Linked DNA regions of Oryzias latipes. The protein of the gene in region 1 purifies or fractionates together with the protein of each later gene. This does not show direct contact. Links are inferred from orthologs where the notes say so. Each region holds a gene or a part of one and is shown on either strand. Other genes may lie near its edges.

Region 1 (4,095 bases):
CACCGCTCCCGTCCCGCGGGACTCGGGTCAGCTGAGGAGAATAAATGTCCCACACCTACATGCGTGACAGCTAACGGGGCTTGAACTTTAAACACGCTCGAGCAAAAACAAGATTAGTTTTAGACACACTGAAAATACGTGGGGAAAATGCAACGATAGACGTGTTTGAGATGAACCGGCACCTCGCCTGGATCGTTAGGGAGACCAGGCGGGGGGGGGGGGGGGGGGGGGGGGGGGGGGGGGGGGCACTGTGAGATGAAGGCGAATCTGCAGCAAGACTGAAGGACAACAGTTGGAGTTGTCCTTAACATTCAATTTAGTTTTAATATTCTTCTCCCCCTTAGTATGATCTGTGTTATTATATATTTTATGATTATTTTAATGTTTTGTGATGTATGTAGCCTTTTTAATGAATTGGTATTTTAAATTATTTTAATTAATCACTCCACTACAAAAACCATCAGGACACATGTCCCATAATGCATTGTTTTGTAGTCTCTAGTTTCCAGCTGTGTCCGGGTAGGTTTGCCCCTTGCTCCCACCCCTTTCTCGCGATATTTTTGTGATGATTGACAGTTGATGTTGGAGCAAAAACAAAAATATATGTCTCACACCAGGTGATCTGTGCAGCGTTGAGTTCACCTGGGTGATCTCAAACACACTTATTGTGCATCTTGGCTGCACCTATTTGGTGTCACAAAGATAAATTTCCATCTGTTTTCTTTACTATTTGTACTGTCATGACAGCGATGGTGCTGTCAGTTTACCTTCTTGTTGCATCTTCAAAAGTGAAGAATAAAATGTGACACTGAATTTGAAACAGCACATTTTAATTTCTGCATCTATTATTAAAGTATTTATTAGTAATACAGTGGAAATGAATAGATTTGGTTAGCATGTTGATTTACGGTATGCGCCCCTAGAATTTTCAGTTAGGGGCCACAGTGCTCCTAGTGAAAAAAGTTAGTCTGGAGCCCTGATGTGGCATAAAAATCAGAAGCTCCTACTAAAACTGAAGGACCTGCAGCCCAAACCAGCCAACGCAGACTCACCGGCTCCTCCACCTCCCCTGACGTGTGCTGTGCTTCAGCCTGCAGGTCGATGGGAGGCGCGTCCTCCACAATCCTCTGCACGGACATCTGGATGAACTCATCGAAGGAGTCCAGCTGCTGCCGCACCAAACCCTTCTCATCGAAGTACGAGCTGCAGAACAGACAGCAGTTCAGGAAGAGCTCGGAGAGCTGCAGCGGATCAGAACCGTCTGCGTCACATCCTGCACCAGAAACTCACAGAACCGATGATTAAAAGAGATGACTGAAGAGGCTTAAAGTGTAAAAGATGATCAGAAAAAGGTTCAACTTTTCCTTTGTTTTTTATTGAACTCTATCTAAACAGCAGTTTGGGTTTCTGATGCAGAACGCTCTGGTGACTGCGTGACTGCTGCGTGTGCGGCAGCAGAAACCCACTCATGTTTTGTCACAGTGGGCCTGACAGGTGAGCTTACCTGATGACGATCCAGCATGCTTCCTGCCACAGATCTGGGGTGATTTCATCATCGTCTTCATCATACTGGTTATCTAACAGACACAGAAATGATGAGGCCACATCCACACTAAGACATTAAAGGTAACTGACAGCAGCTGGTCATCAACACTGAGCTGTTGGTTCCTTAGGGTTACGCTCTAGTTAGTTTGGTGGGTGTCCGTCATCGGTCTGGACTGCAAATAAAGGTTTGTTTGTATATGACTGTGTTATCATGACAGAGGGAGTGAGGGTTTATGTTCATATTCCTTCTCTACATCCTAACTACTTAAAAAACTATCTATTGCCCTGGTTATTAAAGCCAATTAAAGCCATGTTTACTGCTTTTCTTTTATGGCAAATATGACATTTTATGACGTAAATCTGAACATGTTTGATGATGACCATCATCATCATCATGATGATGGTTAATAGAAATTCCTTTAAATACTTTTTTTTCAAATGAAAAATTGTTCAAACGCAATGCATTGTGGTCCAAATTCACCAATCAAGTGACCATCAAGGCACACTGGTTTTTCGCAGAGACTTCTGGGAAATTTCTAGCGATCTGGATTTTGGAATTGTAGATTTGGATTATTCGGACAGTCACTTAACCAGAATCAGTGAGCGTGTTTACAGGTTAACAAACAGACTGAACAGATGTTAAAGCCACTCAGCTGCTGCTCCTGCTGCTGTGGAGCGGCGCTGCTCCTGCACGGCAGTCACCTCCCACAGCATCCCACTGACCAGGGAGGGTGGTGGGCCCATTCCCAGAAAACAGTCTTCTTCTTCTTCAATTCTCCAACTATTCAATGATGACCATATTGGTGAACAAACATTTCTGGTTTGGCATAAAATACTTCAAAATATCGCGACAAAGTGCTAATGTTTCCCCCCAGCCGGACTGACTAAAGTTATTTGCGTGTTTCCTAGTCTGCTCGTTTTCCACGCGTGTTTTTCCCCCCTGGTTACTACGTGCGTCTCGGTTTTAAGAGTCTGTTCAACTACAGAAAGTCCGGTTCCAGAAACTTGCTGCATGCAAAGAAGCTTCAGACAGGTTTTGGTTGAACAACATGGAACATCATGATCATGGATGGAGGAGACGTTCGCCATGCGTGAGCGTTCACGCGCAGCTCTAACGGCGCTGCGTGGAATCCGCGCCTCACCTTCGTCCTGGTCGTACATGATGGCTTCCGAAAATCCCTCAAAACAAAGACGGCTTCAGAAAAAAGAAGACAAAAACACGGAGAAGCGGCGCGCAGCCTGACACAGAGACCCGGAAACACTTCTTCTTTTTCTGCGGGGTTTCCGGTGTTTGGCGGTCATCTGCTGTGACAGCGCCCCCTGCGGTTGAGGCCAAGAACAGCAGTGTGCGAAGTGCAGTTAGTAAAACAAATGTAACAATAATAAATCAGACATCAAAGCTAACTATAGATACTTAACATTTTACTCTAATATCATTAGGTTTTCCCTTCAATCAGTGTTCAACTTACAATGTTTAAATATCCATAAATTCAAGAAATTGTAGAAGGAAACTTTTGTTTCTCAATATGGAGATGAGAGGACTTACAGGTCATTTTGTGTTCATGTAAATCCCAAATATAAGGATGTGTGAACTTATAACTAATGTTTTTGTTGATAATCAATGACGCTTGGTAGTGCATCTTAATGGTCTAATGTAACGTGCATGTGTTCTGTATGCATTAATGCAAAGCATCTATTTATAATTATGAATAAACACACTGTCAATATGATAGCATCATCTCATTACATCTTTTTTCTTATCAATTATTACTTTTTATCTGAAATGGATTTAATCTGTTTAAATTTTGGATTTCTGTTCTTTATTGTATAATTCCATGATTTCAATACTTAAAATGAATCATAAAATTAACTATAAAAAAATAATCACTGCAGTTTAACAAGAGGCCAAGTGGACTTCACTTCCTGCCGGAAGCCTTTCCTCTGTGTTGATTAGAAAATAATGAAGTCACAGGACTTTTTTGAAAGGATTTTAAGTATGTTTGATTAAAATTAACAGTAAATTTGAACAAATTGACAAACATCCAGAAAGTGAAGCTTTTAGTAAAACATGAGCAGAGATGCAGCAGGTTTTACATCTGATCCGTTTTCCTAACATTATTTAAGTTCACTATCAGAGGTTTTAAGGTGTTTCTGTAAAAAAGAAGATGGTAGAACCCAAATAACGTATAAATCCAGATCCATCTGAAACAGACGTAGCCTGTAAGTGTTACAACCCTCTGCTACATAGTGGAGGGAAAAGCAGAAACTCTTCTATTGATTGAAAGATTGTCTAAAAATGAGATTTTATTTTTTCTAGTACTGTTGGGAATTTTATGTAAAACCAGAGTTTTATAACGATCTATTTTCTGTACCATCAGTGAATGGAGTCTTTGATGAGGAAAAGCTTAGTCATCACAAACGGTCCTATTGTTGCAGCTTTTAATCCCCCTCCCAACACCTACAGAACAATTCTAATCTTTGTAGATAATCTGGGTTAGCTAGAACTGTATTTTTCATAATTGACACATCAGAAGAGAGAGAACTCCACCA
Region 2 (4,144 bases), on another chromosome or scaffold:
GTACCAGAACACCTCCGGATGCTGGATTTACAATCACGAACCCTCAACTCCCTGCAGAAACCGAGCTGAGGCTTTTACCTGGGCAGTCGAACAGTATGTAATCGTCTTCCACGTGACCTAAGCTTTCCTCCAGCCAGTCGAAGTTGTTAGCAAAGTACTCCATGCAGAACACCAGGCCTCCGTTGGGGCCGAACCTGAGAGAGTCATCCTCCATGACATCGTCCACCTGGATGAGCTCCCGGATGTCTGAAAGCACAAAAAAAAAAAACACAAGGCATTAATTCCTGGAAACGGACTTAAAAAAACAACCTTCGCAGGATCTCACTTTTCACTAATCATCTACTTTTGCTTCTAATTTCAACGACGGGCGATAAAAGTATTTGTCAGCCACCGATTCTGCAAGCTGTCCTACTTAAAAATGGTAGAGGTCTCTAAAGTTCATCATAGCTAGATACACTTCAACCGTGAGAGAGACAATAAAAAAAAAAAGAATCCAAGAAATTGTATTTTAGGATTTTGAAATCATTTATTTATTCAGTGGTGCAAAAAGTACCACAGAAGTATTTATCTCCTACAAACGACCAGGATGTCTGTCCCTCACAGACCTGTTACTTCTTTAAGAAATTCTTCCATGTTTCCTGTGTTAACGTCACCTGTTTGCTATATGATCTTGAGAACGATGAGGAAACCGCCCAGAACTACACAAAAATGGAACTCTTTGGCATCAACGCCACTTGCAGTTTTTTGCGGCGAAAGATCGCCAATTCACATCCCAGGAACACATTACCTACTGTGAAGCATGGGGGTGGAAACATCATGAATTGGGCCTGTGTTTCTGCTCACTGGACATTACAACTGATCCTTGTTACGAAAAGGATGAATGGAGAGATTTTGGGCAAAAGAAAACTTCTTCTTTCAGTGGGAGTACTGAGGATGAAATGTGCCTGGATCTTCCAGCATGACAAAAATCTCAAACACATTGCCTAGAGCAGTGTTTTTCAACCAGTGTGCCGCGGCACACTAGTGTGCCGTGGGAGATGGTCCAGTGTGCCGTGGGAAATTGCCCTCATTAACTGATCTAAAAACATTTCCCATCTCCAGGAAATCAGCTCTGTGTTCATCCAAACAGGCCCTGATAAAACACTGAGTAGTTAGGAATATAAAAGATCACAAAATTATTTTTTCTTTGTGTTTATTTGATTCTATTAAAGACATTTTGATAAGAATGACGGTACCGCGATTTGGCTGCAGCTTTAGCTGTTTTAGGAAAAGTCCCGCCCCTTTAACTGTCTCCGCCAATCATTCTTGAAGGTTTAATCACATGTCATCAGTCTGACCAATCAGAAGTGGTTAAAGTCTTCACTTCCTTGTCCCGATTTAGCTCATAAAGTCTCTCGGTTCTAACAAAAATACCAGCCAAAGGTCGTCTTTAGCGGTGTAGCTTTCCACAGAATCCGGTGTCAGACCGTGGAACAAGTGAACAAAACATTGAAGCTTCTGCCCTTTTGCGGCAGTTTTCACACTACATCTCCCACGATGCACTGGGTTAAAGGGACAGCGTCTTAGCGTACAATGAGTCGTCCTTGTTAAATGTCTTGAAACCACAACAAACACACATGAAACAGTTTTTGAATTTTCTAACTTAACTTTTATTTCATCTTTTAGAAAAAACAGCTGCAACTTCCTGTTTTTTCTGCCCCAATTATCACAAAAATGCACGTGAGATTGCGGGGGGGGGGGGCTGTCGATCAATACAGACTGAGTTTTTTTTTGGATGCTGGTGTGCCGCTGTGTCTTTGTCAAGGTTAAAGTGTGCCGTGGCTCAAAAAATGTTGAAAAACACTGGCCTAGGCAACACAAAAGTGGCAAAATATGAACCATTTTAAGGCTCTGGAGTGGTCTAGCTAGACTGTGGACCTCAATCCAATAGAGAATCTGTGGAGGGAGATGAAAGTCTGTGATGCTCAGTAACGTCAAAGCTCTTGAGGAGATCTACATGGAGAAATGGACCAAAAGAGAAGACCCAATGAAAATGTCTGACCTCTATCAAAAGAATTGAGATGAACTTTTGATATTGACCAAATACTTATTTTCTACTTCACTTTACAAATGAAGTCTTTAATTTGTAACATTCTATCTCTCAATACTGAGGTGTATCCATAATATGACTTAGGAGTGAATGAATAATGGACACATAATAAGCACTTTAAGCGTCTGGAAAAGCGCAGAAAGATCCAATCCACTATTATTATTATTAATATTGTTATTATTATTATATAAACTTAAAGATTCAATAAAATACTTTTTTTTTAAACAAAAGTAAATTAGGTTCAACAGATCTCAAGACTTTAACAAGGATTTACCAACGTCAGAAAGGACATCCTGCTGTCATAGATGGATTACCATGACAACATGATCGTTTTTTAATTTTTTTGTTTTCATATTTGGAGACACAAACGGTTCATTTTGAGCATACTAACCTGCCATAACAGGGTAATTAAAGTGTTCTGCTGCTGGATCCAGGTTGACCACCTGAACTGAGCGGTTCAAAGCCTCTGCATGCTGGGTCATGGTGGAGCAGTACGTACTCTGAAATATTAATAATAATATTTTAAAAAGATACAATTAATGGCAAAACACAATAACAAAATAAAAACACGCTGGGTGACTGACACCACCTCATGTACTGTTAGCAACAACAGACAAGAGGCTGTAGACCATCCAGTGGCATTTTTGAAAACATACCTTTCCGCTACCAGCCGGGCCCATCACCAACTGGGCATAGCGAGGCATTTTCTCTGAAAAATGCGGTGTGATAAAGATCTTAAGTATCTTTAACCACAGACGCTAGCTTGTAATGCCATACGCATCGGTGTGATGACGCTACTTCTTCTTCTCCGGTAGATGATTTACGGTCAGGCTCATTACTGCCACCTACTGATCAAAAGAGGAAATGGAAGTCAGGGTGACAGTGGTCTGAAAAAGAGCCACAATGGAATGAACTGGTGATGAATTATTACACCTTTCGCACGGTGGATGTGAAAACAAAAATGCAATCCCATCTTTGCATTTTCGCTTTAATTATGCCACAGAATAAGCGGTGTTGAAGAAGAAAAAGAAAAGCAGATTGGCTCATTCGTTTGTAATTTTATTTTTTAATTCACTTGATGCAGTTACATTTTCAAAATGAAAAAGCATTTCTGTTAATAAACTTTGATGATCAAAGAAGATATTTCTAATTACATTATGCTACACATTTAGTAAAAAATGTCGAATACCATTTTCTTTCTCATTTTAATTAAGTGACAGAATGAGCTGTGTTGAAGAAGAAGAAAAAGAAAAAGTGGTTTGGTCGGATTGTTTTTTTTTTTATTATAAATTATTACAAATGCAGCTTCATTTTAAAAATTGAAAAAGCATTTCTGGTATTGACTTTCATTTTAAAATATACTACAGAAATCTTCCATACGAATGTACTGATGATGAGCATTGAACCAATATAGTGAGGAAAATACTGTGCAACAATTGTTTTCTTTTTGTGTGTCAATTACCATTGAGTCGCAAATTCTGTGGCAGTGTCAGTTGTGGCATTTTTTTAAGTTTCCCCAGGAAATGAAAAATTTTGCTCTTTAACTTTAAAATTGCTTTATTAAAACCATATGTATTTATTTGAACAAGTCGTTTAAACTGCCTATGATATGACCACGATAACCATGAAACTTAAAGCAAAGATCATGACAATAAGTTGTTCACAAACTGGCCGTTAGGGAGCGGTAGAGCCCCAGGGATCTTTGCTGTCAACAAACGAAACCACCAAAATTGAGTAAGAAGTAGAAAGTGACTGCATCAACATGCGATGATCAGGTGAAATTTGGAAACGTATGCAAGCCTTCCTGCTCACCAAGTTTGTTGATTGCGTCCTTCATCAGGCGCTTAAATTAATAGTATGTTTCGAGGAAGTGAATGGAGTTAACAGGCCAAGTTTGTGTACAGACATTACCGCGTGACGGTGGACTTCTTAGCAGGTACTACTACTACTACTAACTATGGCAAGTCTTTGTTTTTCTATTTTTTAAAACAAATGTTTTCTTTTTTTGTTGTATTTTTTTTTGCTGTCTGAAACACGTTCATGTTAATTTTCGTC

Evidence for each region.
Region 2: the proteins of polr2b (region 1) and gpn3 purify together in Homo sapiens (co-immunoprecipitation; 3 studies listed by BioGRID and IntAct, counting the BioPlex papers as one, with this or other methods). This does not show direct contact. The link is inferred for Oryzias latipes from reciprocal best matches to the Homo sapiens genes POLR2B and GPN3.

Annotation. Positions count from the first base shown.
Region 1 is NC_019868.2:3,851,921-3,856,015, forward strand, and holds the start of polr2b (DNA-directed RNA polymerase II subunit RPB2), read right to left. Parts: upstream 2,823-4,095; 5' UTR 2,707-2,822; coding exon 2,688-2,706; intron 1,578-2,687; coding exon 1,505-1,577; intron 1,204-1,504; coding exon 1,053-1,203; intron 1-1,052. UniProt on the Homo sapiens protein: Catalytic core component of RNA polymerase II (Pol II), a DNA-dependent RNA polymerase which synthesizes mRNA precursors and many functional non-coding RNAs using the four ribonucleoside triphosphates as substrates.
Region 2 is NC_019870.2:16,801,069-16,805,212, forward strand, and holds the start of gpn3 (GPN-loop GTPase 3), read right to left. Parts: upstream 2,909-4,144; 5' UTR 2,794-2,908; coding exon 2,746-2,793; intron 2,590-2,745; coding exon 2,481-2,589; intron 247-2,480; coding exon 79-246; intron 1-78. UniProt on the Homo sapiens protein: Small GTPase required for proper localization of RNA polymerase II (RNAPII). May act at an RNAP assembly step prior to nuclear import.